Linked DNA regions of Pelodiscus sinensis. The protein of the gene in region 4 interacts with the protein of the main gene of each other region in a biochemical or structural test. Links are inferred from orthologs where the notes say so. Each region holds a gene or a part of one and is shown on either strand. Other genes may lie near its edges. The genes, in order: ADGRA2, VANGL1, CTNND2 and DLG1.

Region 1 (7,348 bases), on a different chromosome or scaffold from region 4:
TAGCCGAGAGGGCTGCTGTTCTAGCACACAGGCTAAACCAGGGCCGGGGGGAATCAAGGTACGTTAGTGAACAGAACCCCAAACGTGTCAGGCACAAGGACACCGTGACCCCACTTCCTCTGCACTTGAACAAGCCAATCAGCCACTGCATGAACACGTCACGGCTTTAAAAACAAAGTCCCTTCTTTTGGAATCAAAACCACCCAACACGCACCATGCCACTAACTACTAGCAGCTCCGAAATAAACGGGATCCAAGAGTAAATCCGAACCAGAGTTAACACCCAGAACAAGAACATTGCTCGGCTTTTAAAAAATTGCTTCCCCCCACCCCCGCCTGTGTGCTGGAGCATGGAAAACACGTCCTGACCTACAAACACTTCTCCACACGCTTGACTTTACACCCGCAGTCTCTGGGATTCCAGTAAGACAAGTCACAATGTGTAAAATGGAGCACAGGCCTAAGTCTTTGCAGGATTCACACACATGCTTAACATCCCAGTCCCAGTGGGCAGTCCGGGTGAACCCTGCTTCCTGCACGTATGGCTAAGCATGCGCAAAAACCTCGGCAGGATGAGCGTAAAGTATCATTAGCATTGCCTTGAACGATGGCGTGGAGGTTCCAAGGACTTTGAAGAAACGTTTCAACTATGAGACCTCTTGTGTGCTTACAAAACACACCAAAAACCAAGCGCTGCGATGAAAAGACAGTGAAACTTTTAGAAATATCCCAACTTTACGCTGCCAAAATCAGACTGAGGTGGGGGGAGGGAGTTATTTTAAGAAACATGCGCGCTGTTATGATTTCCAGGAGAAACCGTTGTTTTCAAACAAAAGCTCTCTGTGTAAAGCGCCAGAGATTGCCAAAGGAAACCGTGGAAATGAAATTGACGGTAAACCAAAGTGAAACTGATTTCTCTGATTTTCAGGCCAAGTAGGCCTGAGGAACTTTGCCAATAGAGTACACAGGAAACAAGACCCAGCAGGATTCAAGGCCTGCTGAAATCAACCAGCCTCTTTCCACTGGCTTTCAGTGGGCTCTCAAATGGGGCCAGAAAGAGGCCTCGCCTTGTTAGCCACTTTCATTCTTCTTAACGCTGACCTGGTAGGAACAGGGCTCAGGCTGATTCTGGCCAGGGGTGCACAGAATGACAGAAAGAGCCCTCAGGAGTCATCAAGTCCAGCCCCCTGCCCAAAGCAGGACCAACCCCGACTCAATCAGCCCAGACAGGGCTTGGTCAAGCCCGGTCTTAAAAACCTCTAAGGATGGAGATTCTGCCCCTCCCTAGCTTCCCCCCTTTCCTAGCTTTTCCTAATATCCAATCTAGCCCTCCCCCACTGCAACTTGAGCCCATTGCTCCTGTTCCGCCAGCGCTGAGAACAGCCTCTCTCCATCCTCTCTGGAACCCCCCTTCGGGGAGTTGCAGGCTGCTCTCAAATCCCCCCTCGCTCTGCTCTTCTGCAGACTAAACAAACCCAAATCCCTCGGCCTCTCCTCGTAGGTCATGTGCTCCAGCCCCCTCAGCATTTTGGTCGCCCTCCGCTGGCCCCTCTCCAATGCGTCCACGTCCTTCCTGGAATAGGGCCCCCAGAACTGGACGCAATAAAGTCAGTGGCGCTACTGGCCTGAGCCCAGGCTACGAGATGGGGCACAGCGTGGGCACCGAGAGCTCGGAAGAACCAAAACACAGCGGAAGCCAGAGTCACTGCTGGACCATTTTCTGGCCTCCCTCCATGGCGCCATGTGACATGTCCCAGCTGGGCGAGGTACGGCCGCCCGGGCCCTGGCTGCTCGAATATGCGCTCCCCACTGGTGCACGCTGCCCCTAGGGGAGCACCCAGACCTCAAGGCAGCAGAACGCAGAGAGCACCAGCTCCCACGGTCACCCTGAGCCGAACTGCTGGGAGGGAGATTCTGAGCAAGGAATCTGGGGTGGACAAGGCCTCTGTGGGCAGGCTCCCCTGCAGCCTGGCAAGGAGGGCCATGGCAGGGCTCCTAGCCACTCCGGCAAGCAGTCCGCCAGGTCTTCCCAGTCACACACCTGGACGCCCAGCCCGCTCCCTCCTCCAGGCAGGGCCTGGCCCCTCGTTATGTGGCTTGGAAGGGGCGCCGCCGTACAGCCCTCCACACACAGCCGACGTTCCACGCCGTCCCCTCGGGCTCAGGTTGCGGAGTTCCCACACGGGGAGGGGCGGGGACCCTGGGGGCCAGTCGGTCTGGGTGTGTAAGGGGCAGGCAGGGGGAATCGGGGCAGGGGCTCTGGGGCAGAGGGGGCGCTGCGGGTGCAAGGGCAGGCAGGAGCGACCGGTAGCTGTCAGGGACGTGGTGGGCGCTGGGGGGTTGGCAGAGGGCGGGGACGCTGGGTGTGTGTGTGGGGGGGTCATCCTGGGAGCGCAGGGAACCGGCAGGGGACCCACGGGAGGCATTAGGAGGCAGGCAGAGAAGGGGGCACGCTGCGTGTGGGGGGGTCGTTCCGGGTGCGCAGGGGACCCAGGGTGCGCGCTGCGGGGCGGGATGGGGAGGCAGAGGCGGCTCGCTCCGGGTGCGCGGCTGGCAGGGGCGCTGGGGAGCGGGCGCTCGCTACTCACAGGGTGACGGTGGCGTTGGGCACCAGGCGCGGGTCGGGCGGCTCCCGGAGCTCCTGGCTACTGCAGACCAGCCTCCTGCGGGCCGCGCCGGGCGGGCCCAGCCCCTTGGGCCGCTCCCCCGCGCACTTGCAGCCGGGGGGCTGCGCGGGGCAGCTGCGGGCTCCCCCCGCGCCCAGCCAGGCGGCCAGGCAGAGCAGCCCGGCCGCCCAGCGCATCCTGCCGGGCGCGTCGGGGCTGGGGCGCACGGAGGGTCCGGGCGCAGCGGGCGCCCTAGAGCCGGGGGCCGGGCGCAGCCATGCAGGGACCCGGCTCCTCCCCGGGCTCGCCGGCCTCACGCCCCGGCCGCGCCCCGCGGCTCCCCCCTGCCCCGCGCCGCTGCGCCCCGCGGCATCTCGGGCGCGCCGGGCCGGCAGCGGGGACGGGTCCGGCCGCTGCGCTCGGGACGGGACCTAGCGGCTCTGCGGCGCCTGCCGCCCGGGTCCCTCCCCTGCTCAGCCAGGCCCGGCTGCGGGGCCCTAGCGCCTCCCCGCTCCTGCCTCCGACTCCCCCGCACAGGAGCCGCCGAGCTCCGCCAGCTCCCCGAGTCCCGCGCGCTCCCCTCGGGGCCAACTCCGGCCTCCACGCCAGCTCCCCCCGGGCACCCCCCGACGTCCTCTCCTGCCCCCTGAGCTCCCCTGGGGCACCCAGCTTCCCCTCCAGCCCGCTGGGACTCATAAGCTCCCCCTTGTGCACCAGCTCCCCAGCCACTGGGTCCGAGCCCCGCGCTCTCCCCGAACCCCTACACTCCCCCTTGGAGCCCAGCCTCCCGCGCCTCGCTCGGGGCGCCCAGCCTCCCCTCTGACCGGCTTAGGGCAGGCGGCCTCCCCCCGGGGCACCTGACCTCCTCTCCAACGCAGCCTCCCTCTTGGCACCCAGCCTGCCTGCTCCAAACCCCTGGGGTTCAGGCATCCCCCGTCCGCACCAGTGCCCCCCCCCGCCTCCTTCCCAATCTCCAGGCTCCTTGCACCCACTTAGCCATGGCGCCCGGCCTCCTGGACTCTTACCCCCAAGTCCCGGCCAGTGCTTCTGGAGGGAGGCTCCGTAGGGGGGCACAGGGGCCCTTCCCCCCCCCCCACACCTTGTGCTGAGCTCCTGGAGGACGCAGCCCTGCCCCAGCTCCGAGTCCCAAGCCAGGAGTGGGCACAGGTGGCCTCCTGCTTCCCAGGCCATGGCTGCTGGGCCTGGCTCCCAGCTGGGACCAGGACAAGTTTTCCTTGGGAGGGGGCCTCCTGCATCTGCATTTGCAAAATCTGGGGAGGGCTCAGACTCTGAGCCACCACTGGGCCCGGGCAGCTTGTCCATCCTGGAGCATTTGATGGAGGCTACGATTAGAGACAGGAAACCACAGAACCCACCTCTTGGCAGGGCAGGGGATGAGCATCAGACTTTGAACCTGAAGGGCCAGGGTTTAAATCTCTGGCCACACATTGGACGTTTTTCTTCACGCAGCGCGCAGTCAACCTGTGGAACTCCCTGCCAGAGGATGTGGGGAAGACCAGGACTTGAACAGGGTTCAAAAAAGAACTAGATAAATTCCTGGAGGTTCGGTCCATCAATACTGATTAGCCAGGCTGGGCAGGAAGGGTGTCCCGAGTCTCTGTTTGCCAGAAGCTGAGAATGGGTGATGGGAGGGATCACTTGATGATTCCCTGTTTTGTTCACTCCCTCTGGGGCACCTGGCATTGGCCACTGTGGGCAGACAGGACACTGGGCTGAATGGACCTTTGGTCTGACCCCGTGTGGCCGTTCTTGAAGCCCACCCATCTCCCAGGGAGACACAAGAGTTGAGCCAATAGGCCACAAATCGGTGCTGGTGCAGCCTTCTGGGGCCAGGTGTGGGTTGAGTTGCCACTGAGGCTGGAGTGTGAAGGTGGCACCAAAGATTCAGGCAATCTCCCTTGGTTGGCTATTTCACCATCCTGGGGCATCTGCCAGCCACAGCCCCAAGTCCCAGAAGGCAGCCACCCCCACCCCCTCCTGCCTGGCTTCCCACCCCGCCTTATCCAGCTGGTACCTTGCCCTGCTTGTCCCACGTCAGGGCTGGGGTCTAGTTACACACCCACGTGCTGGGAGAGGCGGCTGGCTCCATGGCCCCTCGAGAAGCAGGCCGTGGAGCAGGGCCTGCATGCGGACGGAGATACCAGTGTAGGCCCAGTGCCCATAATCTGCTTTTAAGGTTTCGCCATGAAGGCTCAAAGCACAGAAGAGCTGTGATCTCACTGAGCCTAGGGGGAGCATTGAACTTCCCTAGCACCCCTCCACCCACCCCAGGAAGCAACCGAAACTGGGCCTGCCGGGGACTCAGCTCCTGGGGCCTGGCAAGCAGATTTGCACCATTTCTGGGAGTGTCCCCCAATCTCCGTGTCAGTGTCTATTCGAAACAGCTGCAAGCGAGAGCCAGATCCACGCAGGGGAGCCCTCAATTGCAGCCTCTCGGGGCTGCCTCCAGGAAACTGACTGGGAGAGGCCCAGACAAAACCAAGAGCCGCTTCTGGAGGATCCAGGCCTGGAGGGGAAAGCTCCTTCGCGCTGACTCCTTGCTGGTAGCAGAAGGAAGGAATTGGGTTTCTTTGTGACCTGATTAGAAGGGACCCTGGAGCTTGAACACCACCACCCACAGCAGAAAACCAGGGACTGCGCTACGCCGGCCCCGCAGCGCTAGTTCCGGACACCGGAGGTATCCCCGCATGGCGAGTCCGTGTCTTTTGCACGTGCCTGCTATTTCGAAATACACCAGACTCGCATATTGCTCAGATTGCGTCTCTTATTTCGACCTGTGGTGCGGTTATTTCGAAATTTGACGCTGCCTACACAGCGCTCACGTCCACAGAACCCGCTGCTCCGGAACGGCCCTTGCTCCTGGTGGAAGGAGGTTTACGGGGATGTCGGAAAGCGAGCCCGTTGCATTTCGAAATGACAGGCGCGCTCTAAGGACGCAGGATAGCCTTTTGGGGGCTACTTCTGGTGTCTGGAAATAGCGCTGCAGGTTCGACCCGGCCTTACGGTGCCCCGTGCTTCCTGCCACCCATTTGAGGAGACAACTCGGGAGCACAGAACGACAGATCCCGAAGCAGGCAAAGACTTGGATGAAGGGATTAATTAGTGTCTGGAAAAGCCAGCCTGATCGTGTCCGTCCTCACGCAGCCAGCAATTAGGGCCCAGTTGCAAGGTCTCTCCCAGGGAAATGGCCTCATACGGATCTCCCCGAGGAAATTGAGGCCACTCACACAAAGAGGCGCAGTGTATGCACTGCCCCGGGTTTGGTGGGTGGCCTGGCCAGTCAGAACGAGGCTCTGTCCCACCCATTTATGCTGCATCGCCTTACTGACCCATTTCTCTCCTCCGGGGAGCCGGGAGGGGGAGGAGGCTGCCTGCACTAACCCACACCCACCCTTGCTGGGAGCCAGAGCCAGCCTGGCACGGAGGCACGCCCGGCCTTTCCTCTCGGAGGGCCACGTGTTGGAGCCAGCGGTTGAAAGGGGCTGGCAGCTTCTCCCGCCCCTGGAGCCGGGACGTGGTCTCCAGAGCAACCGTGCCCCTGCGCCCGTTCTTCTGAATTTCAGCTGCCTATAAAGCGAGCCCCGCCACCGGACAGCCCTTGTCCAAAGCCAGAATCAATGCGACTAGCCAGGGCCAACCCCACTAGCCAAGAACGGTTTGCCAGATGCTCTGAGCGCTGCATCCGGGTTCTTTCCGCTGTTGGCGAGCCCCGCTGAGCTCTTCCAGACCAGCACCCAGCCTGAATCCCCGCCCTGCCGAGGGAACTTCTCCGATGCTGCAACATCACCACCGCCCGAGTGGCCGGGGCGCGGCCCCCTCTCCGCTCCCAGCCTCGAAAGCAAAACCTCCCGGCTTTGACTCAAATCAAAGCAGAAGGGTCTCCCGGGTCGGCTCGTGTGTGTCCAGTACAAACCTCTGACCCTGGCTTCCGCTGAGGAATTCCGAGCCCCACGAAATAAACAAATTTCCTTCCGCCTCCGCCGATGAAATGTGCAGCCCCAGGAGAGCCCATCGGGACCCCCCCTCGGCCCAGGCAGCCGCGAAGGCCTTGAACCGGCTGGGAGCATTCGCAGCTTCGATTAGGCAGGACAGTGAGCGTTTCCGCCTGTCCGCAGGTGCAACGTGGGCTGTGCCGGGGGCTCCTGTCAGACCGGCTGCCTCCAGCCACTCGCTGCTCTGCCATGCTGCAAGGACCAGCCGTGGGGAGATTGCCAGCCCCCCCACTCAGCCTATGGCCAGAGATTCAGGGCTCTTTCTGGCTTTCTCTAGCAGCAGCGCATCTGTCCAGCGCTTCACCTTCCCACCCCCCACTGCAAAGCTGAAGACCTGGCTCCCAGGGAGGTGAAGGGACTTGCCCAGTGTCACAGGGGGAGTCTGTGGCAGAGCAGGGCCTTGCACCTAGGGCTCCTGCCCTGCCTCAATGGTAAAACTGCCCTAGCTGCAGAGAGAGTGAAAATCGAGTTATCCCCATTTTTCCAGGCTTCTAAAGCGATCTGGGGGCAAGTGCCTCTTGGAGCTAAGCTGATCCTCTCGCCCTCCTCTAAGGCCTGCTCCCAGGGTGCACGTGTACAGAGGCCAGACCTGCAAGAGGGGCCTTGTGGGGACCTGCAGGAATGCTGCAGGGGAACCCCCCTCACTGCTACCAACCCCACGGGCGGGGCAGAACGTCTCGGTCCCTGTGAGCAGCTCCCCGCTGGCTACAGCCTCCCTGCCCCGCCCGG
Region 2 (7,366 bases), on a different chromosome or scaffold from region 4:
CCTGAGCTTCCCCCTTCAGCCCAGCAGAGCTGCACGCCAGCCTTCTCGGTTCCCTACCTCCCCTCCCACCCAGCTGAGCTGCGCACCGGCTCCTTCATCCCCCACCGCCAGGCTGAGCCATGGACCAGGCTCCCCACGTCCCTTGTGTCGCCCTGGGCTATCAGTCCCCCATGTCTCCACAGTGCACCAGGTCTCTCTGATCCTGGACATCTGTGGTCCGGCATTGCTGGACCAGAGAGTTCTAGTTTATAGATGTGCAACCTGTAGCTAGCAGCAGAGCTTCCTTGTGACTCCTCCTCCAGCTCTAAGGCTACAGCAGCCTTCTCCAAATTTTTGGAAGTTGAGCCTGTACCTCTTAGTTTTTACATCCTCTATGCCCCCCATGCCTCTACTCTTTTGTGGGCCCCTTGGAAGGGGACCCCCCACAACAACCAACACTTTAAGAAACTCTGGTGTTATATCCTATTGTGAAGGCTATGCTTTCATGAGCAGTGACATAGTGAACACTTGTCATTTAAAGCATCTTGGTCTCCGAGTTTGTGTTCATTAAAACAAACAGGGCAGTTCAATCTCGGAACCATTGTTTCAGGCCCCTGGCAAATGCAGGTATACTAATCTGCATTGGCAATATTAAGGTCATGTTTTCAAAGTTCTCTAACAGCTAGACTTTTGGGGGTTCTTCCAAATAAAAGCTGAGACTCTAGAAAACAATTGAGAGGTCTGTTTGTACTCTTCGGGGAGCTGCCCTACCCTGTAGGGCCCTTTGCACTGCTTACACTTCAAGGGAGGGGATGGAAGTCAGTGGAACTACAATCCCAAACTCAAATCCCTACAGAGCAATCTAGTTGGGCTCCACAACCTGGGATCTCTTGCAGGAGCTCCCCCATCCTTTTGGGGGAAAGAACTGGGCTTTGTAATGCCTTAAAAACCATGGAGGAAGGGTAGGATTTACACCAAAAAGAAGTGTGAAATCCCTCTAATCATCTCCATGGGACAGCAAACCTGAAGTGAAAGGAAGGAATTATTTCCCAAACATATTACTTTGACAGTAGTACCCTGTCAGCCCTTTCCTCTTCTTTTGGGAGAACTAAATCAACAAGGCACTAGCAGCTGCTAGCATTCTGACAATTTATTTCATGCAAACATGCTCTGAGCAGTGTCGGAGGTTATGGTGCTTAGAATACTGGTCACTATCTGGAGCCCTGACTACACTAACCTTCCCACCAATGGCAGAGGTGAAAGAACAGTAGCAAACATGGCAATTTAGCAGCAGAATACTAATTTAGAGGTAGTCTCTGTATCTGCATAGCTTTCATGTTCCTGGCGGATAGCCATTGGCCGTTAGCTACCTCTCTGTGTGGCTGAACGTGTGCTGGAAAGCATTCCAGAATTTTGACTTGCAAAATTTTTTGGTAAATGGGAGGCGTTTTTTTTTTTTTTTTTTTTGTAAATGGGGTTTTGTTTTTGTTTTTTTGTTTTGTTTTTGTAAACGGGAGGTTTTCTGTAATTCTGATTTGTTCATCTTAAAAATAGATAGATAATCAATTCCTGTAGGACCAGTACTGGTCCCATCTTCACAGCCAGTTATATATTCAAACCACAAAAAGGGGAAAAAAGGCAAGCCTGTTTAAAATCAAATTCTTAGAAGGTTAAATACACAGCAACTTTGAGGCAAGAATAACTAAGCCGAACAGCAAAAAAAAAAAAAAAAAAAAAATCTCCCACTAATCAAAACTATTCCCCCAACTGATATTCTAGCACTCAGTACAATTGTTAGTTGGGCCTCCTTAGATGGGCTGATACCTTGACACTGGCATCTTCAGGAAACACGTAGCTAAAGAGCCCAGCCTTTGGAGCAAGAATGTTATTTCGAACCATTAAGTAAACATTCTAAACAATGGAATTAATTCTCTCTCTCTCTTTTTTTTTTTTCCGGTCATTCAAAGTTCACAACTGATATAACAAACTGACAAAAGTAGTAACTTTGTCCTCTGCAGGGACACAATCACACCCTATGTTGCTAAAAACTACAGGAGTGCCAGTCCTCTGCAGCCCAGATGCAGGCCTATGCTTTTGAAGCAGAAGGGTGTTAAGACTTATTTCTGTTCCCTAAAGGTTATTAAATCGCCATGGTCTAAGAACAGGCAACCACACAGGCCTGTGTAGTCATGAATTGTCACAGTAGACCACCTGATCAAACCAACTTCTGTATAACTAAATCACGTTATGCTTTACTTGCAAATTGTGTCTTATACACACACCTACAGTTGCCCACACGCAGGACTTGGAATTTAAACAACTTCAATGGACATCATCCAGGGAACTAGATATATTTGAGGAGCACTGAACTCAGCTTTAATTCACTTGTTTATTAATCCATTATTACTTTGCTTCCCACACGGGGCTTTACAAATGTATTCCCACGAGTGGGAAGCTTTCCCTGGCAATCTTGTAGTCTTTTCAGGTCTGCTGGCAAGCCCCAGTGGGCCTGGGCCGCGGCACATAGTCTGAAGTTAGCGAGAGCCCAGTTCTGCACATTGCTTTTATCCAGGACTCTGGGCAGCCGTGCCAAACGACAAGACGCTCATCTGATGCATGCTGACACATGGGAACGCTCTGAGCAGCAGAGGCAGACGAACAAGAAAACAGAGGCTTGGGCAACCCATGCAGTAATCAGGAGGCTGTGGGGGGGGGGGGGGAGAGGTGCGCGGGGTGCCCAAAAGGGGCGGGGATCAGGCACCTACTAGCCAGGAGCTGGAACTAACAAGCGCACTCGCTGGGAGCTAGGACTTGCAAGCCCCCCCCCTCCCCGCGCCTGTCCCCCCCCACTCCGATTCAACGGAGGTAGAGAGACTCCTGCCAGAGTGAAGCCCCCGGGGCCACCAGACACAGGCTCGAGCTCGCACGCAGCCCAGAGCCATGCCCATGCCGGCCGGCGCCCCTGGGAGAGGGGGCAGAGCGCACGCCCGTGGCGGGGCAGAAGAGGCCCGGCTGGGGGGTGCGGGACTGCGGGGGGGGGCAGGGCCTCCGTGCCCGGGGATGCTGCCCCGCGCGTGGGGAGCGGGGCGCGAGCCGCCGCAGCAGGACCCCGCAGGGAGCGGCTCGGCGGGGCAGCCCCGGGGGCGCGTGCAGGGCGGCGGCAGGGGAGGGGGGCGCGTGCAGGGTGGGGCCCCGGGGAAGCCGCAGGGGGAGCCGGGCCGCCCGCACCCACCTCTCGCGGCCGCTCCATGCTGCTCCCGGCGCCAGCCCCGCTGCAGTCGCTAGCCCCGCCGCTTTCCGCTTCCTGTGCCCGGCGCCGCCCCGCCCGCTGCAGCCCGCCCCGCCTGCAGGGACCGCCCCCTGCAAGACCCCCCCCCCCCCCCATCTGCTGTGAGCGGCCAAGGACACCCCCACCCCGCTCCAGCACCCCCCACAACAACACTCCCCGAAGCACCTCCAGTGCTGAGGCCGCCACCTGGCACCCCCGCAGCCTCCTGCCTCTCCTCCCCCCCCGCTCGTCGCTCTCCCACTGGGACCTACTGCAAGCTCCCCGCAGGGATCCCAACCTCCAGCCGTGTAAGTACATGAGTGCTCCGCTCTAAGGCTATGTCTACACTCCAAAAATCTGCAGCGCGTCTACACTGCCAGTCCGCTCTTGCACAAGGAAATGTACAGTCCGGCGTGGTAAGAGAGGGCTTCTTGCGCAAGAGCGACGCTCTTTTTTAACAGGTGTAAGCCCTCTTGCGGAAGAGGGCAGTGTCGACACTCGGCAGGGATTTCTTGTGCAAGAAAACCCTATGGCTAAAATGGCTGTTGGAACTTTCTTGCGCAAGCGAGCGTCCACACTGCCATGGGCACTCTTGTGCAAAAGCACAGCGCACATGTGGCAGCGTGGACGTTTTCTTGCGCAAGAAGCCGCAAGTGTAGACATAGCCTAACAGTGGCAAGAGCTGGGGCAAAAGCCAGCAGGGAGCTACTGAAAGAGCTGGCAGGGACCGAGCTTGTAGTAGGACAGTGCCTAAAAGAAATGTGAAGTTACGTTCACCACTGCCACCATGTATTCAGCACCCGGCTCCTACACACACCTCCCCACCCACCCACCTTTTTGAGGACCAGTCCTTCCCAGTTCCCACACTAAATCCTCTCACTCCCATCTCAACCTCTTGCACCTCCACTCTATTGCATCCATTTCAAGTACTCTTGCAATATTCCCTCTTACAAGATCAGCCCTCTCCACCCAGGGCTCAATTAATCACTATGGACACACATGCCAGGAGGCTGCAGTGACCTGTAGTCCAGTCAGCACCCAGTGCTCTTTAAAGGAATCCAATAAATCAATAGAGGCTGCACAGAATAACTCTGGGTGAGGGAAGTGACCAAGGACAAGAAATAAGCCCTGCAGTTGCAGAGCTCTCTCCCTGCTTGCCTTGTCTAGCTTCTTCTTCCTAGTCTGGTGGGTAGCCATTGTGGTCTAGTGGACAGGACACTAAACAGGGAGTCAGGAGACTTGTGTTATATTCCTGGCTTTGCCACTGACCTCTGTGATCTAAGTCACTTTACCGCTCTGTGCCTCCGTTTCCCCCTTTTGTCTTGTCTTATTTAGACTGTAGGGCTACGTCTACACTGCAGGCTTTTTGTGCAAGAACAGCTGTTCTTGTGCAAAAACTTGCAGAGCATCTACACTGCATGCGTGATCTTACACAAGTAAATTTACAGTAAAGCATCAGAAGAGAAGGCTTCTTGCGCAAGAGTTATTCCTCTCCCCACAAGGAATAAGCCCTCTTGCAAAAGAGCTCTTGCGCAAGAAGGCAGTGTGGACAAAACCAGGAGTTTCTTGCACCAGAAACTCCTATGGCTAAAATGGCCATCAGAGCTTTCTTGCGCAAGAGAACATACACACTGCCATGGATGCTCTTGCGCAAAAGCACATGGCAGTGTGGATGCGCTCTCGCGCAAGACCTTTTTGCGCAAGAACTCTTGTGCAAAAAATTCTTGAGCAAGAAGCCTGCAGTGTAGACATAGCCTAGAATTTTCAATGGCAGAGCAAGCAATAGAATCGATATCTCCTGGCTTCCTACTGTGTGCTTTAACTACTAGTAAATATTCTGTCATTTAAAATAAGACTATATTTAAAGTAAGACGATATGCTACTCATGTCTACACTGGCACTTCTCTAAATCTTTGTCCCTCAGGGGTGTGAAAAAACACCCTACTGAGCACAAGTAAACAGGCTGAGCTCCCAGCACTGTTAGCTACTCTCCTCATTTAAGTGATTTACACAGTGTTGGGAGAGTTTTCTCGCAGTTCTGGTGCTGTAGCCATACTTTCACTTTAATAATTTTTTAGAGCATAGACTACATGGTCATATGTTAACACAGGGCACAAGATTATTGTGATGTTATTTGGGGGATGGTAGATTATATGCATCCCTTTTTGTCCTCCTCTTCCCTGAGTAATGCCACAGGTTGTATCTGAAATATATAGAATCAGAGGCTACGTCTACACTGGCATGATTTTCCGGAAATGCTTTTAACGGAAAAGTTTTCCGTTAAAAGCATTTTCGGAAAAGCGCGTCTAGATTGGCAGGACACTTTTCCGCAAAAGCACTTTTTGCGGAAAAGCGTCCGTGGCCAATCTAGACGCACTTTTCCGCAAAAAAGCCCCGATCGCCATTTTCGCGATCGGGGCTTTTTTGCGGGAAAAGAAATCTCTGCTGTCTACACTGGCCCTTTTGCGCAAAAGTTTTTCAGAAAAAGGCTTTTGCCCAAACAGGAGCCGCATAGTATTTCCGTAAAAGCACTGACAATCTTACATGAGATCGTGTGTGCTTTTGCGGAAATTCAAGTGGCCAGTGTAGACAGCTGCCAAGTTTTTCCACAAAAGCAGATGATTTTGCAGAAAAACTTGCCAGTCTAGACACAGCCATAGATCTGAGAGAGACCTCAGGAGGTCATCAAGTCCAGCCCCCTGCCCAAAGCAGGACCAATCCCAGCTAAATCAACCCAGCCAGGGCTTTGTCAAGTGGAGACTTAAAAACCTCTAGGGATGGATATTCCACCACCTCACTAGGGACCCATTCCAGTGCTTCACCACCCTCCTAAGGAAAAACTATTTCACAATATCCAACCTAGTCCTCCCCCACTGTAACTTGAGATCATTGCTCCTTGTTCTGCCAACCCTCACTACTGAGAACAGCCTCTCTCCATCCTCTGTGGAACCTCCCTTCAGGAAGTTGAAGGCTGCTATCAAATCCCCCCTCACTCATCTCTTCTGCAGACTAAATAAGCCCAAATCCCTCAGCCTCTCCTCATAGGTCATGTGCTCCAGCCCCCAAATCATTTTGGTTGCCCTCCACTAGACCCTCTCCAATGAGACCACATCCTTTCTATAGCGGGGGGCCCACAACTGGACACAATACTCCAGATGTGGCCTCACCAGAGCTGAATAAAGGGGAATAATCACTTCCCTAGATCTGCTGGTAATGCTCCTTCTAATGCAACCTAATATTCCATTGGCCTTCTTGGCTACAAGGGCACACTGTTGACTCGTATCCAGCTTCTCATCCACTGTAATCCCCAGGTCCTTTTCTGCCAAACTGCTACTTAAACGTTCGGTGGTCCCCAGCCTGTAACTATGCTTGGGATTCTTCTGTCCCAAGTGCAGGACTCTACACTTGTTCTTGTTGAACCTCATCAGATTTCTTTTGGCACAATCCTCTAATCTGTCTAGGTCACTCTGGACCCTATCCCTGCCTTCCAATGTATCTACCTCTCTCCCTAGCTTAATGTCATCTACAAACTTGCTTAGGATACAAATCCACCCCTCATCCAGGTCATTAATAAAGATGTTGAATAAAACTGGCCCTAGAACCAATCCTTGGGGCACTCCACTAGAAACCAGCTGCCAACCTGACATTGAGCCGTTAATCACTACCCGTTGGGTTCGACAGTCTAGCCAGCTTTCTATCAATTTTACAGTCCATGTATCCAATCCATACTTCCTTAACTTGCTGGCAAGAATATTGTGGAAGACCATATCAAAAGCTTTGCTAAAGTCAAGGTATATCACATCCACTGACTTTCCCATATCCACAAAGCCAGTTACCTCATCGTAGAAGCTAATCAGATTGGTCAGGCATGACTTGTCCTTGGTGAATTCATGTTGACTATTCCTGATCACTTTCCCCTCTTCCAAGTGCTTCAGAATAGATTCCTTGAGGATCCCCTCCATGATTTTTCTAGGGACAGAGGTAAGGCTGACTGGTCTGTAGTTCCCTGGATTGTCCTTCTTCCCTCTTTTAAAGATAGGCACTATATTTGCCTTTTCCCAATCATCTGGGATCTCTTCCGATCTCCATGAGTTTCAAAGATAATAGCCAAAGGCTCTG
Region 3 (8,277 bases), on a different chromosome or scaffold from region 4:
GGATTTCTTTGCTGACTACTAGCAGCTTTAAAGGGTATTTCATATGGCTTGTGCACAGCATAGTCTACTACTCTTATTTCCTTCCCTCCCCATCCCCCCTCAAAGCCTCTCTTATATAACAGATTGCAAACACTGTCTCTGAAGATGCGATCTTGGGTTTCTATAGTGAAGTTTTCAACATATCATGCTCCTCAAATAACAGTTTTAGGCCAGTGATCAAGTTCTGTTAATAATTATCTAGACATTCTCTCTTCAGCTTGCCTATTTACACTTGTATGCATACAAAGCTCTGAAAAGATAAACTCATTTACCAACTGAATAAGAGTTTCACAAACTTTGCACAGTGTTGGTCTCAAATAACCACCTGAGAATTTATAAAATGTGTACGTTTAGCGTATTTGCCACAGGTGTCCCAATCTTTTGCAAATAAACTGCTAACATAAAAGGATTTGTGCAAGCCCTCAAGCAATTTTGAGAGTCAAGGCCAATAAGGCATACCTTCAGCATACCTGTTTAAGCTTAACTCACTCTATGGTAAAATCGCTCTATTTACTGAGTAGTTTTAAGTGTGTTACCTGAATTGAGAAATTCAGTAGTGAATGTAGATCACTATAATTTTTCTTCCTCCTAGACTGGGCAACTTTCCCGACTTCCATTTAAAGTGTTCCACTGTATGAAATGAGTATTTAGGAGATGTTTTTCCCCTCAGTCTCTCACAGGCACATTCTGTAGGTTTAAATACAGTTCTACATGTTTTTTATATAGTTGTTTGTATTGGATAAGTCAATTCTTTCTTGAAAACAGAAAATCCCTCTAGTGTCTTGTAACACCTTTGAATGACTCTGCATAGTATACATACATGATGTATGAGGAACAAACTAAAATTATATTTTTTTCTCTTGACAATAGCAAGAATCACATCAGTGTTTTGAGATTTATGTAAACAAATGCAATCGTTGCAGTTCAGAAGAGTGAATACCTGGCAGTTTAATAAAGCCTACTCCTGTCTATTTATAGGAAACAACTGAAAGTTTCTGTGTTGAAATTAATCTCTAAGACCAATAGTAAATTCCTAAGCCCGAGTAAATCACGTCATAATATTTAAAGATTTAACAGAAAATACACAAGAGTGACCATACGTTTCAGTTTTGTTTCTCGCGTTTTGAATCCCTACCACTGAGCCCTATATTCAGGGGAAAACTTAAGACCGGTTTTAAAAATGATCTTTCCGTAGCATTATTCCTCCAAAAATTCCCAGCCAGATCAGTTTCCCCTGTCACACAACTATTATGGTGCTGCCGCACCTCCTCTATAGTGACTTGACTCAGTTGAGGCTACCTTTGAAGCAGTCGATGCAAGCACACTACACACACCAGAATAAGAGTAAGGAAATGAAAAGAAAAGCATCTTTCCTTTCAGCCATTAATTATAGATCAACCGAGTATCACCTTGCACATCACACGCCGATTTCCTCCCTCCCACCAACCCCCCCCCCCCAAAGCCGGATGTGTCACAGCCATCGGTTCCAAAGCAGAAAAGCCCATACTTATTGTCACCATACATATGCCCAAGAACCCGGCTGGCGGCACTGAAATCTCACGATTTGATGGCTCTAAATATAGACTCTCAGGGTTTCCAACGTGGGAAAGAAGCCGAAGAAGCGGACATGGGCGTATGACTAAGTATTTCAATTTCGGTCTGCAAGGAACAGAGTCACGGCATGGACCACAACAGCCCAGGACTACATGGCAGAGCAGGGTCTATTCCCCCCTCCCAGGATAGATTTATGACTTCAGTGCTGTAATGAGTATATCATTGCGGGGTGGCAGGGAAGCGAGTATTGCTGATGCCCTACATAAGCAGGCGACTAACGTATGGGGGGGGGGGGGGGCGGCAGAGGAAAAATACACTTTGTTACCTCTCCGCGGAAGGCACAAGCCATGTTTCCAGAGCCAGCCACAGCTGCCTTCTAGAAAGGAGAGGGGCCTTTGCAATGTGGGCACGACAAGCCAATGCTTGCTAGCAGCAGCGGAAGAAATAAGGCACGAGCACCATTACGATCGCAATTGCACTCACCGAACGGCGTCGACCCTGCCTGCTTTTTCCCAAGCATACACAGCGAATCCAAGGCAAATCCTCAAGCCGGTGGGGGCAAAGGGGGGGGAGGTGCGCGCGGCGCCCCCGGGTTTCAATTCAAGGTCCTGACCTTGCCCAGCTGCAGCATCCTTCTCTTTGTGCGGTGGGGCTGGGCTCCTCCGTGGGACAACTGCCTGGTGGCGGCGGCGGCTGCGAGGGGAGAGGCTGGCTCCACATCCACCGCCTGCTCGAGCGAGGCAAAGACTCGGCTTTCCTCCCCCCCTCTTCTCCGCGGCGCTGCCAGGCTCAGCAGCGGCGCTCGGGTGCAGCAGCGGCGGCTGCGGGGCACATCCGCCGCCGCCGACTGGGGCTGGAGACGATACAGGCACAGCTGCCGCTGCGCTCCCTTCTCCTCCCCTCTCCGGCAGGAGCGCGCGCCTGGCGCGGCTGAGGAGCCGGGCTGGGGTGGGCGGCTGCGCTCGCTCTCTCGCTCACTGAGACGCCGCCGCCGCCGCCGCCACCTGCGCCTGGCGAGGTGGGGGCGCGAGGCTCCTCCCGGGCAGCGTTCGAACACCGTCGGGTCCCGGGCAGGCGCGCGCCGCCGCCTTGCCGAGAGCGCCAGCAGCCGGGCTGCTGGGGGAAGATGGGCTCCTTGGCCAGGCTGGGCTCAGTGCTGCCGCTGCTGCTGCTGCCGCCGCCTTCTTCTTTGCAGCCTCGCACGGAAGCTGGGCCGTTTCCCTCCCTTCTCCACGCGCCCCTCCATGCCGTTCCCCCGAGGCAGGGCGTGCACGCCGCTTTGTTTGAAAGGGGGGCTTCGGGAGAAAGCGCAGCAACGCAAAGCCACGGCCAGCAACGTGAGGCTGGCCGGGGGCTTTGGAGTGGGCGCCAGTCAATAGCGCAGGTGCGTGTAGACAAGCAGGACACACCCGGCCAGGGAACAATGCGCTCGCAGGATGCCCGCGCTCATATACGGTTGCTGCCCATGGACCAGCGAGGGGAATGTGGGAAATGCCCTTGAGTTATCCTCCGATGGGAGAGCAGATGCGGCTGAAGCGTGGCTGGGCTGGGCTGCGCTGCCACCTGCTCCCTTCCCCAACACCCGCTTTAGCTGAGCTGATGAAAACTTCAGGTCAACTAACGCAAAGAATGGAGCGATTGCTTACAGCCCCTGCTCCTGTGTGCCTCGCTCTCCTTCCCCGCTACACTCATCCTTAGATGGCAAATCCACTTAAACAATTTCCAGGTGTCTCCTTCCAGACAAGCACAGCTGTTGAGGAAACACGACAGATATGTAGATGTAACTCCTTGCTAGCGGAAGAAACGTAGGGAAAATGCCATTGCAGCTATAGCCCAGCCCCTTTGCCGTGTATTTTCTGGAGCAAAGTTTTCTCGTTTGGAAAATATGTTGATCCTGCCTAGCAGCAGTGACCTAAGCACAGCTGTAACCATCAGCAAATCCATGTAGTCAGCTGAGCTGTCGGGGTGATGCCTGCATTTGATAACAGGTCTAAAGTCCCTGAATTCTAGTCAAGGAGAACTGCGTATCTAAGACAAGAAAGGGTTGGGTTTGGGGGCGTGGGGTGAGGGGGGGGGAGAGAAGAAGGACTTGGAGGGAGGGGACGAACTGTTTCCTTTTTTAAATCTTGATTGGCATCCAAATACATAGTTTAATTTTAGAACAAAGTCATTTAATCGATCTGTCAATAAATTGTAATTAGCAAGCACTTTCTTAGCAGATGTGAATTTCAAAAAATATATTTTCATACAGATTGAGCAGACTGTAATGAATGCCTCCAATATCAGATTTCAGAATGACTCATTGCTGCCACCTTTTGCCTGGTGATTTCCACTATTTTTCCAAACAATACTAAATCATGCCTATTATCAGGCAAGAAGAAGAGTGCTGTGTAAAATCTCACTCACAGAAGTTGGTCCACTAAAAGATAGTCTCACCAACCATGTCTCTCTAATATTTGGGACCCTCACAGCTACAACACTGCATACATTATTCTTCACTAACATGTTAGTAAAAGTTATTTCCTATATTAATATTTTGAAGTGATTAGAAGCTGTAATTTCAGATCATTACTTTTAATTCACATGAATTCCTGATGCCAATGTCATGATTCGTTCTTTGGAACAAAACATAAGAATGTCTATACCGAGTAAGACCAAAGGTCCATTTAGCCCACTATCTTGTCTTCTGACAGTGGCCAATGCCAGATGCCCTAAAGGGAGTGAACAGAAACAGGTAATCCTCAAGGGTATGTCTACTCTGGATGGCTATTTCAGGATACCAGACATATCGTGAAATAGCTACCCCACAACTATACAAGTTGCCAATTATTTTGAAATGTTTTTTGAAATAAATGGCACACTATTTTGGCATCCTGGTAATCCTCGTTCCATGAGAGTTAAGGGATGTCTCGAAACAGCATGCTATTTTGAAATTTGGCGCTATGTAGAGGTGCCAAATTTCAAAATAAGCAATTTCAAGATAGATTTGAAATAAGATATGCAATTTGCATAATACAAATTGTGTATCTTTTTCGAGTTTAGGCTAGTTTGTAGACACACCCTAAGTAATCTCCCTCTGTCATCCAATTTCATCCCCTGACAAACAGAAGCTAGTGACATTATTCCTATCCATTCTGCCTAATAAGTATTGATGGACTTAACCTCCATTAATTTATCTAGTTCTTTCTTGAACCCTGTTATATTCCTGGTCTTTTGGCAAAGAATTCCACAGGTTGACCAGGCACTGAGGAAAAAAAACCTTCCTTCTCTTTGTTTTAATTCTGCTACCTATTAATTTCATTTGGTGACCCCTAGTTCTTATATTATGGGAATAAGTAAATAATTTTTCCTTATTCACTTTTTCCACACCAGTCATTTTATAGACCTCTATCATCTCCTCTTTTCTAAGATGAAAAGTCCTAGTCTTTTTAATCTCTCTTCATATGGGACCTGTTCCATACCCCTAATCATTTCTGTTGCCTTTTTCTGAACCTTTTCCAATGCCAATGTATCTTTTTTTGAGATGAAGCTGTAAGGGAGCCTGGACAACCTCGTCTTGACCAGAATAATAATGTCTGTGGGGTCCGGCCCTTCATGGACTGGACTAGCGATGGCTGCCTTGACCAAAGTGAGGCTTCTTATAAGGCAAACCAGGCCTGATTTGAACCTCGTGCATGAAAGCACATGGGCCAGGCCAAGGGTTGACCTTTGAAAGTCAGGAGTGCGTAAACAATAGTGTGCTGTGTGTATTGGTATAGAGAAACCGTGCCAAGAACATTGGGAGTAACCCAGTACTGGGACCTAACAATGCTAATGAATAAAATCACTGATGCAGCCATAAAACTATCAGCTAAGTATAGTGTATTTTGATTAGCAGAATGTGTACAAAAGAGGGGCATACACAATCGATGATTAATTGGGAGATTTCACTAGAACGACCACGTCAAGTCTCGCTTTGTTATAAAATAAGGGTAGAAAAGGTAATCGGTGAGAGGTAAGGGGACCCCACTACCTTACTCGCTATAACTGGAAGCTGTGCCTGTTCCTACCAACTAATGTATTGTGGACGCCTCTGTGCATGGGGAAACAACAAGACCATGACCTCCCATCTGACAGTCATTTGAGAATCTGACAATCATCTGAGAATTTGACAATCATCTAATCATCTGATAATTGTAACGTCTTAGCGGTGGAACTATGTGTGTGTGATTTATAAAAATAAGTATCCTTAATATCAAGTATCTTGAGTATTGCCCTAGGTGTTATATTATTGTCTGTATTAACTATCCTGTGTATTGAAATAGATCTCTGTAACTGTGCACTGCTTTCCTTTACTATTCTGTGCATAATAAAGTTAACAAGAGTCTATCTGAGGTGTTTTTACTGGCTCCTCTCATATCCAAAAGCCAAACCACACGACAGAAGCGACCACATCTGTACACAGTATTTAAGATGTGGACATACAATGGATTTATATAGAGGCATTAAAATATTCTTTGTCTTATTCTCTATCTTTTTAAAATGATTCCTAGCAATACGTTTGCTTTTTGACTGCCACTGCACAACAGGTGGATGTTTTCAGAGAACTATACACAATGAGTCCAAGAACACTCTCTTGAGTGGTTATAGCTAAAATAGTCTTCATCATTTTGTATGTGTAGTTGGGATTATATTTTCCCAATGTGCATTGCTTTGCATTTATCAACATTAAAATTCATTTTCCATTTTGTTGCTCAATCACCTAGTTTTGTGAGATCCTTTTGAAGCTCTTCACAGTCTGCTTTGTTCTTAACTATCTTGAGCAGTTTAGCGTTATCTGCAAATTTTGCTACCTCGCTGTTTACCTCTTTCGCCTTTAGATCATTTATAAATGAGTTCAATTGGATTGGTCCCAGGACAGACCCATGGGGACACCACTTATTACCTATCTCCATTCTGAAAACTGACCATTTATACCTACCCTTTGTTTCCTGTCTTTTAACCAGTTATCAGTCCATGAAAGGACCTTCCGTGTTGTCCCATGACAACTAACTTTACGTAAGATAGATAGATATCTCGCGAGATCCACAACCTTCATACCAGACAGGCAAGTCACCATATGGTTCTCTCAGTCATCACAAACCCAGCTAAGTTGCTAATGATTGAATCTCCCATTACTAACTACTTGCCTTATCCTAATGACTGGAGTTCCCTCCCCCCAGAGATGAAGGGGGGTCCCAACTATGAGATTATTTCCCTCTGCTCCAATTGAATGTTCTCCTTCCCCGAGACTTTCACCCTCCTCAACAACACAGGGGCTGTCTGACCGGAGGTGGGACAGTTCTACGGTGTCTCAGAAAGCCTCATCTGTATACCTCTCTGTGTCCCTTAGCTCCTCCAGTTCAGCTAACCCTGGCCTCCAAAGTCAGTACATGGTCTCTGAGGGCCAGGAGCTCCTTGCTTTGAATGTACACATACGCCACCTACGTATACATGCTACATTGGGTACAATAAACAGGATAACCCGCACTCTGGTGCTGCACTTCTGCCTGCATTCTCTCCTGCCAATAATTAGATTATTGATAGGATTTTTATTTAGATCAGATGGTTTAGATTTAGATCAGATGGTTTAGATTTAGTTCAGTTTAAAAGAAGTTTTAAAGAATGCATCTAGCCCCCTTCAAACTCCCCCTCTAAACTTCCTCACAAACTCCCTGTTAGCTGTTCCTCTTTGCTAGCTTCCTGGTCGCATACTAGTACGCTTTATATAGCCCTGCCTTCCTGATAACCACACCCCCTGCTGAAGGCTTGATCAACAAACAGAGGGTTATAGGTTTCAAATCCTCCTTAAGATGCTCACAGCTTCTAACTGCTGGTCTCAGCACATGGTCCTGGTCAGGTAGTCAGTAATATATCCCTGCTGCTATATACTTATTATCAGGGCTCGCCGAATTGCAGCGAGCCCCGCTCGCCAACCACGCTGTCTGGTGATCTGCGCATGTGCAGCTTGCCCAAACCCGGCTCTTCCAGGTTACAATCTACTCGCCACAGGCAAGTAGATTGTATTATTTGTCGAGCCCTGCTTATTATTAGAGCATGGACTTACCATCTATAGAGATTCTATCAAACATTTTCGTTCATTTCAGATTTTGTTTTGGTATGTATTTTCATTTTGCTTCCATATTCACACTTCTGTCTTATTTGATTTCCCTTTTGCTATTTAATTAGCTAGTGAGGGATTATGGGAATAATATATTTTCTCTTTCAATTTTAAAATTAAAAATCAGAATTTAATATGAACTCTACCTTGACACTGTCTCATTTGCTAAGTGGCTTTAGCATTGGAAGAAGGACATTTGCTTCTAATGGATCAAAGAGAAAGAACCACAGAAGAGGACCATTAGAAATAAGATAACTTGGATAAGTGGGATCTCCAAATATAAAATGTGTGGTCCTTCTGCGTGACACTTTACAAATTAGAGTTTTCTCTAGCTCAATCTTCTAGATTCAAATCAAATCATTTTTCTTAAATTGTTTCTCTTCCCACCCACAAAGAGCTGTGTTGAAACTCCCCTTTCAGAGACTAGAGATTTTCAAAAGAACCCAAATGATTTAAGACTGTGAATGTAGGTCCCTTAGGAACACTTAAAATTCCATCTTTAATACTTTCCTTAACCACATTGATTAGTCCCTTGCTTTGGTTAG
Region 4 (7,754 bases):
GTCAGGGGCCAAGGGGTTTGGAGTGTGGGAGGGGCTCCGGGCTTAGCCCAGGGCAGGGGATTGGAGTCCAGAAGGGGTTTCAGGGTGAAAGCTCTGGGAAGAATTTGGGTGCAGAGGGACTCAAGTCTGGAGCAAGAGGTTGGGTGCAGGAGTGGCATCTGCAGGCAAGGAAAGTGGATGGAGACCCCCTGCTCTGCCCTTCTCAGGGGCTGCAGGGACATGCCAGCCACTTCCAGGAGCAGCAATTCCCACAGGGATAATTACTCTAGCCGTGAAAGATTAGGTACTTTAGAACTCACCACTCAAAGAATTAAATGTAAATGTATGAGAAATGAAAATGATGAAATGCACAGACCAGTCAAAATCCAAAACTAACCCACTTTGCAAGCAGTAAAAGAAGTAACAACCTCCCACATGTGTTAGGTCGGGAGAGGAGAGTGAAGGACAGTGTGTTTGTGAAAATGACAGACACACACACAGTGTGTGAGAGTTACAGCGATTTGCACTGCCAAGCTCCCTCCATTCCCTTCTCTCTGTGTGGAGATGGGGTACGGGGGGGGGGGGAAGGAGGACACTCTGACATCAGCACCCCCCTTTACCCAACACCTTGCACAGCAAGCAGGAGGCTCCCAGGGGGCAGCTCCCAGGCAGAGGTCAGGAGCAGTATGACAGAGGGTGGAGGGGCAGGGCAGTTCAACTGCTGGCACGCGATAGCTTCCTGACCAAACCAGTCAGGATCACCTGTCAGAGGCGCTGTGGCGGGGAAACCGCTCCCCGCACTTATGTCCGCTGTCCGGCAGCTCCCAACCCTACAGGCGCCGCCGCCGCCTCTGCGAGCGGGGCACCAGCAGCACATGCGCAGCAGGGGGCAGGCCGCAAGCGGCAGACTCTAGAGCCCAGGGACGCCAGCACGCCAATGGGGCGGGGGCGGGACGCCGGGCCACACGCCCAAAAGGAGGAGGGCTGGGAGGAGCATGGGGGAGGAGAGCAGGGTCTGGCTGTGCTCTCACCTCCCACAGGTGGAGAGCTCGAGGGGCGGCGAGCGCCCGGGACGGCAGACACCAGAGAGGAGTGGGCCAGCGGCAAAGGAATGCCTCTGGGGGGGCCCAGGAGCAACGCAGCCCCCGGCAGATGGGCCGGCCGAGCCCAATTGTTGACAGCCCGAGGAACAGAGCGGGGAACGGACAAGCCAACGGGCCAGCTGAGACTGTAAAGCGGCCGCCATGCAGCAGCAGGGACACAGAGGGAGAGAGAGAGAGAGAGAGACTGAAGGCGGGGGTCAGCTGGGCTGGACTGGACAGAGCTTGACCCCGCTACAGGCTCCAAGATCTACTGGTAGATCCTGAGCTACTGGTTGGTGACCACTGCCCTAAACTCTTCTCCCCCTCCCCCCAGGCCTTGGCCACAGAGCCAGAGGATGGGGTGGGAGGGGAGACAAAGGGTCCCAGTAAGCGTGATGCTTAGCGAGTAATCGGTTACCCATTGACATCCTTATCCTGAAAGACCCACGCAACTCCTGGTAAGTCTTTTTGTATATCTATATAATCACCCCAAACCCAAAGCTTCCAAAAAGATGCTGAGGTGATAAATTTTTAAGTAGCTGATGCCATACAATATCTTCCTATCCAAGTACAAACAGATGAACAGAAGTATGGGCACTTTCAGCCCACTCAAATAGCACTGAGACTCCAGTCGACAGGTAATTTTTTTTCCCCTCCTTCTCCTATCTTATTCTGAATCCCCCCCCCCCCATTTTTCTTCCACTCAATCTCATCTGAAGAAGTGGGTTTTGCCCACTAAAGCTCATTACCATATATATATATATTTTTGTTAGCCTCTAAAGTGCCACATGACTACTCGTATTTCAAGTTGCAGACTAACACGGCTCCCCCTCCGTGGATTTTAAACATGCAAGGCACTACATTCAGCTGTCTGAAGTGGAAATCCATCAACTGCATAAGACAATTCACAGGGATCCAAACAGACATCATCTTCCTAGCCAAGTGCAAACAGAAGAACTGAAGTATGTGACACTTCCAGCTGACTCAGTTAGCCTCATTAGCACTCTAAGGTGCCACAGGACTACTCATTGTTTTTAAAAATTACAAACTAACACGACTACCCCTCAGACTTTCAAGTATTTGGAGACCTCACTTGTTAATACCCTCAAGTGAAAAGCTGAGTGTTTTTACTTTAAAAAAAATTTTAGATGATTTTGCACAAAAAAATTTTTTTTTAAAAAAAAATGTAGACATCTACCTATCAATGCCTGGAAAAGGTTGCTCTGGAAGATATTAATGACACGCTCTATGGAGTTTCTCAGCTGTCTGTCCTCATTTTGGCTCAATTTAGAGCGGTATTCCTCCAGGAGATACAGAGCCCGCTGGGTATCTGCAAATAAAAACAAAACAAAAAGTTAGAATTAAACATCACCATGAGGGGAGAGATAGCAGCTGCCCAATAGTGGTCAGTACAGTAGTTCTTGATATCACACGCTCGATACGCCACTTTCAAGAACTCTACCCAATTCATCACGAGTTCCTGACTCCCCGCTCCTGCTGCAGGTTCTTCCCCAAGAGGCAGGTGTCTCCAAGGCGGTTTTACGCGCCCACGGACACACGACGCTGCAGCTCCAGAGCCACCCGCCCCCGAGCGGACTCGTCCGCCGAGCGAGCTCAGCAACAAGCAGCCCGCTGCGAACTCCGCAGACACTGGGGGAGGCGCCGAGTCCCCGCGGCTGACCCCGCTCTCGGCACAAGCCGGGCCGCGCCGCGCGCGCAGGGTGACGGTTTCTCCCACCGAGGCGGTTTAACCGCCGCTTCGGTCCGCGCGGCGCGGCTCTCACCTTGCTTCCGGACGGGCATGGTGCGCCGCGCGCCGCTGGACTCGGGCGGGACGCGCCCTGTCGCCGCCCTCCCGAACTTCGCGCGGGGCACGGGCCGGCAGCCGGAGCGGAGCGGCGGGGGGCGCGCTGCTCGCTCCTGCCGGGCTCGGAGGGGCCTTGCCCCGCGCTCGAGGGCAGGACGGACCCGGACCCCGGGGTCCGGAGCGGGGCCGGGACGGGGCGGGGCAGCCCCCTCGGAGCTCGGGCGGGCGTCGCCAGGCAGCTCCGCCCTGGGAGCCGGCCGGGGGCCCGGGGCTCGCGCGCCCGACACTGCCGCGCGGCGGGGGCTGCTCGCGCGCTCCCTCCCGCCGCCTCCGCTGGAAATTCCAAACTTTCCAGCCAAAATGGCGGCCCAGCGGCTGTGGAGAGAGCAGCCCCCACGTGACCGAGCCCAGCGGCGGCCCAATCAGGAGTCAGCTCGGCTCGGGGCTGGTACCTAGTGGGGCAGGCAAGGTGAGCACTCGGCCGCTTAAAGGCGCCGTGGCCTGGGGAGCCGGCAGGGCCAGGAGCACGTGGGAGGCCCCGAACCAATGGACACGCCTCTCGCCAGGGGGCGTGGCAGTAGCTATGGGGGGCAGGCCTGCTGGGGCAGCTGCCCCACCCTGGCACCCAGACCTGGCTCACTACTCTGCCCTGCAGGCTTGTTGCGCAAGAGAACGGCCGCACCGCGCCTACATCTACATTGGCAAGACTTTGCGCAAATACCTTTAGCGCAAGAGTTTTTGCGTTAAAGTATTTGCACAGGAGAGCGTCTACACTGGCATGTGCCTTTGTGCAAGAGATGTGCTTTTGCCCAAAAGCATCCATGCCAGTGTAGATGCTCGCTTGCGCAAGAAAGCTCCAATGGCCATTTTAGCCAGCGGGCTTTCTTGTGCAAGCAATTCATGCCTGTCTACACTGGCCTCTTGCGCAAGAACACTTGTGCAAGAGGGCTTATTCCTGAGCGGGAGCGTCACAGTTCTTGCGCAAGAAGCGCTGATTTCTTACATTAGAACGTTAGTGTTCTTGCGGAAGAACTCACAGCCAGTGTAGACAGGCGGCAAGTTTTTGTGCAAAAGTGACTGCATCTTGCCAATGTAGACACAGCCTGCGTGTGCTTTTGCACAAGAGAAAAGATCCACACTGTGTGGACGGTCTTGTGCAAGAAAGGCTACCTGGAATCACTTCAGGCAGGGTAGAAGATCACCAGTTGCTTGGGAGTGTTTTCTGTAATGCTACTTCCTAGGCAATCACAACAACAGCCACACTGGGTCAGTCCAAAGGTCCATCTAGCACAGTATAATGTCTTCTGACAGTGGCCAATACCAGATGCTCCAGAGGGAATGAATACAACAGGTAATCAAGTGATCCATCCCCTGATACCCATTCTCAATTTCTGACAAACAGTGACTAGGGACACCATTCCTACCTATGCTGGCTAATAGCCATTAATGGACCTAACCTTCATCAATGTACTTAGCTTTTTTTTCAACCATGTTATAGTTTTGTACCTCACGACATCCTCTGGCAAGGAGCTCCACAGGTTGACTGTGCTGTGTTTTGTGAAGTACTTCCTTTTGTTTATTTTAAACCTACTTCCTATTGTAATTTCATTCGGTGATCCCTACTCTTTGTGTTATTTCAATATTGTTCATTTTAAATACTATAAATGACTATCTTAGAAAATAATTTTGTTAAAGATTTTACATGGGAATGTCACCTGCTTAATCACAGTCAAATTATAATCATGCTTTGTTAATTCTGAAGCAGCCCTGTAGATTAGCATGCCTGTGGCAATAATAGGCTATTTAAATTTTTTTATAGATTCCATCAGTTCTGCACATTATATTTTCAGATTGGCTCGAGACTTAGGACGTCTAGTGGTCAACATGCATGAAGAGATCAAAATTACACTGTAGCAGACTGACACTAGTGCCATATTTTGTAATTGACTTGTAAGATACAGCATTTTGTAAAATGAATGGGTCAAATTTCATACAGCTTTACAGCACTGTTTTTGGTATTCATGATGTGATAGTGTAAACAATTAAAAACATAAGAACAACCATACTGGGTCAGACCAAAGATCCAGCTAGCCCAGTATCTGCTCACAGTGGCCAATACCCCAGAGGGAAGGAACACAACAGGTAATCCTCACATGATCCATCTCCATTTCCAGACAGTTAACCGATGAGCTCCCTGCCAGCAGATGCTTCAGGTAAATAAAACATCCCAGCATGCCAGCAGCTTATCCTGATGGGCCAGGAACCAAAGTTTGCCAATCCCTGAAATACAGGATTGGCTTGTGAAAGGGTCATAGTATTTTGCCATTTTTACTTATCAATCTCAGGAGGTCAGCTTGTAAATGAACAGGCTGATGAAAGAGTTTATATAATAAGGTGCTTAAAACCAGCATTTTTCTTCTGCATACCAAACTTTCAAAGTTGTATTAAAAGTCAATGTTCAGTTTTAAGCTTTTGAAAGTGCCATGTGTTATTCAGAGTCACAAACAACTTCCATTCTAAGGTGTTCACCCCTCTGAGTTTTTACTAATACATGGGGACTAGAAATGTAATAGAAGAGTTTTATTGTGCGAAAGCCAAACAAGTTGTACAAAATAAACATAAGCAATCCGCAGCGGAAGAGTGGGTTACAGCAGTAACAAGAACTGTAGGTGGCTTACAAGCAATCGACATAACCCACCTTGTCCCGGATACAAGTGAGGAAGTGATTAAACTATAGTCCATACACAACCCCAGGGGCACCCCACCCCTTCACTCGTGAAGCAGAATAGAATCTCTGTCTCTGAGTGTAGACTCTATATCAATGGGTGGAGTTTGCCCCACTGGGTGGATCACTCCTTACTACAGAGCTCTTCAATCCAGAAGGCAAAGATTTAACACAATCAATTCCTAAATTAAAGCTAGATACATTCAGACTGCAAATAAGATGTCATCTTTTTAACAATGATGGTAATTCACTATTAGAACATCTTGGGTTTTCCATCACTGGCTATTTTTAAATCAAGATTGGATATTTTTCTGAACCATCTGCTCTAGGAATTTTTGGAGATGCTTTGTGACCTCTGTTATATAGGAAGTCAGATTAGATGATCACATTGGTCCCTTCTGGCCTTGAAATCTATGAATCTACAATACCAGGAGGAACATGCATGCAGGAAAAGGAAGAACAGATGCTGATGAATAGTGCTGGGGGGGGGAAATCAATGCTAAAGCCAACATGATGGATCAACAAACTAGGACGCAATTATTCAAACCACATTGCACCTGAGAAAGTATTGCTAAGTTCCCATCATTTCTATTTCTTCTGTAGGAATAGACTGATAGGGTAAAGTGATGCCAGTGTTTCTAGGAGTAACTAGAACATGAAGAGAAAATCTTCAAGAAAGGAAGAGTGAAATTTTATTAGCATGGTTCGAGTGGAATTCTATGCTGTGCCCTTTAGAGGTGCAGTGCAGAATTCAGTCAGAGGGAGAGAGAATGAGGTGGCTTTAACTAAGCCACACCTTTGCAGCCCCCTTCCACCAGTTCTGGGTTGTTTCTGGGGCTGAAGATACTGTAATTTAGATACCTCTGAGGACTTCTCTAAGTTAAGCCACCTCATAGGGCAAGAATCTCTGCAGTGCTATGACCCTATTTCTGACACACCGTCTCATCCCAGGCCTATACACTATGCCACGGCTTGCACGCAGTTCTTAAGGATGCTTTGTGGCTATCTTCCATAGATACTAAGTTACTTAACATGACACAGTCCACTATTTTATAGAAATGGTCAACATTCATTGCATCCAGACATATGATCTTACTTTTGCGTGTATTAAAACACATTTTGTTTCAATAAAAGCAGATTCCCACGCAATCCAAATTGCTTGGCATGACCACTTCATCACGCTTTGCGTCATCTGTAAATTTAATCAACAGTGATTTTAAATTTATGTGATGATCACTAACAAAAATAGTAAATAACATTGAGGTTAGTACCACTAAAAATATCACCCATTTGACAATGGTTTTCTATGGATTTTTACTATTTGTTTATTGAGATTGTATAGTGCTGACTTCTTCGAGGAGTATCCCGGTGGGTGCTCCACCTTTATCTTGAGGTGCCACTGCGCGCCTACTTGGAGATTTACAGTAGCAGTGCCTTCTGGTGAGCCGCACAAACGGGACAGGCGGCACGCATGGTGTCGCTGCCACGCATGTGCGGCAACAGTCCCTTCAGTTCCTTCTCTACTGCCATCGGTGTCGGTCGGAACCGCAGTTGCTCTCCTCAAAGAAACAGCGCCCCAAACTGCTGATGCTATTCTTTGCTTTTGCACTCCTCTTACTGATTCTCTATCATAAACTTTCGATTCCAACACTTGCATACAAATAAGAATAAAACTATTTGGGGCTGAATTATGCTCCCAGTTACAGGATTGCAACTCCAACTGAACTTGCTGGAAATGGCAATTATATAACTAAGGCTAGAAATTAGCTCTTTGTCTGCAGTGAGAGCTATTGGACTTATGTACCACTAATATCCCTGATATAGAATCCTAGGGTTGGAAGAGTCATCAAGTCCAACCCCCTGCTCAAAGGAGAACCAACCCCAACTAAATCATCTCAGACAGGGATATGTCAAGCCAGTACTTAAAGCCCCTAGAGATGGAGATTCACCACCTCCCTGCGTAACTCATAGACTCATAGACTTTAAGGTCAGAAGGGACCATTATGATCATCTAGTCTGACCCCCTGCACAGTGCAGGCCACAGAATCTCACCCACCCCTCCCAGAATAATCCTCTCACCTATATCTCAGATATTGAAGCCTTCAAATACTTTGAAGACCCCAAGATGCAGAGAATCCTCTAGCTGTGATCTGTACCCCAT

What was found.
Region 1: the proteins of DLG1 (region 4) and ADGRA2 form a complex in vitro, tested with the Homo sapiens proteins (2 studies listed by BioGRID and IntAct, with this or other methods). The link is inferred for Pelodiscus sinensis from reciprocal best matches to the Homo sapiens genes DLG1 and ADGRA2.
Region 2: the proteins of DLG1 (region 4) and VANGL1 interact in a test that uses a peptide from one of them, tested with the Homo sapiens proteins (2 studies listed by IntAct, with this or other methods). The link is inferred for Pelodiscus sinensis from reciprocal best matches to the Homo sapiens genes DLG1 and VANGL1.
Region 3: the proteins of DLG1 (region 4) and CTNND2 interact in a test that uses a peptide from one of them, tested with the Homo sapiens proteins (2 studies listed by IntAct, with this or other methods). The link is inferred for Pelodiscus sinensis from reciprocal best matches to the Homo sapiens genes DLG1 and CTNND2.

The regions. Positions count from the first base shown.
Region 1 is NC_134738.1:14,951,726-14,959,073, reverse strand, and holds the start of ADGRA2 (adhesion G protein-coupled receptor A2), read right to left. Parts: upstream 3,049-7,348; 5' UTR 2,804-3,048; coding exon 2,589-2,803; intron 1-2,588.
Region 2 is NC_134711.1:143,780,429-143,787,794, forward strand, and holds the start of VANGL1 (vang-like protein 1), read right to left. Parts: upstream 3,295-7,366; 5' UTR 3,212-3,294; intron 1-3,211.
Region 3 is NC_134712.1:134,176,760-134,185,036, reverse strand, and holds the start of CTNND2 (catenin delta-2), read right to left. Parts: upstream 3,056-8,277; 5' UTR 2,114-3,055; coding exon 2,077-2,113; intron 1-2,076. UniProt on the Homo sapiens protein: Has a critical role in neuronal development, particularly in the formation and/or maintenance of dendritic spines and synapses. Involved in the regulation of Wnt signaling.
Region 4 is NC_134720.1:55,447,427-55,455,180, reverse strand, and holds the start of DLG1 (disks large homolog 1), read right to left. Parts: upstream 3,281-7,754; 5' UTR 2,865-3,280; coding exon 2,846-2,864; intron 2,392-2,845; coding exon 2,260-2,391; intron 1-2,259. UniProt on the Homo sapiens protein: Essential multidomain scaffolding protein required for normal development. Recruits channels, receptors and signaling molecules to discrete plasma membrane domains in polarized cells.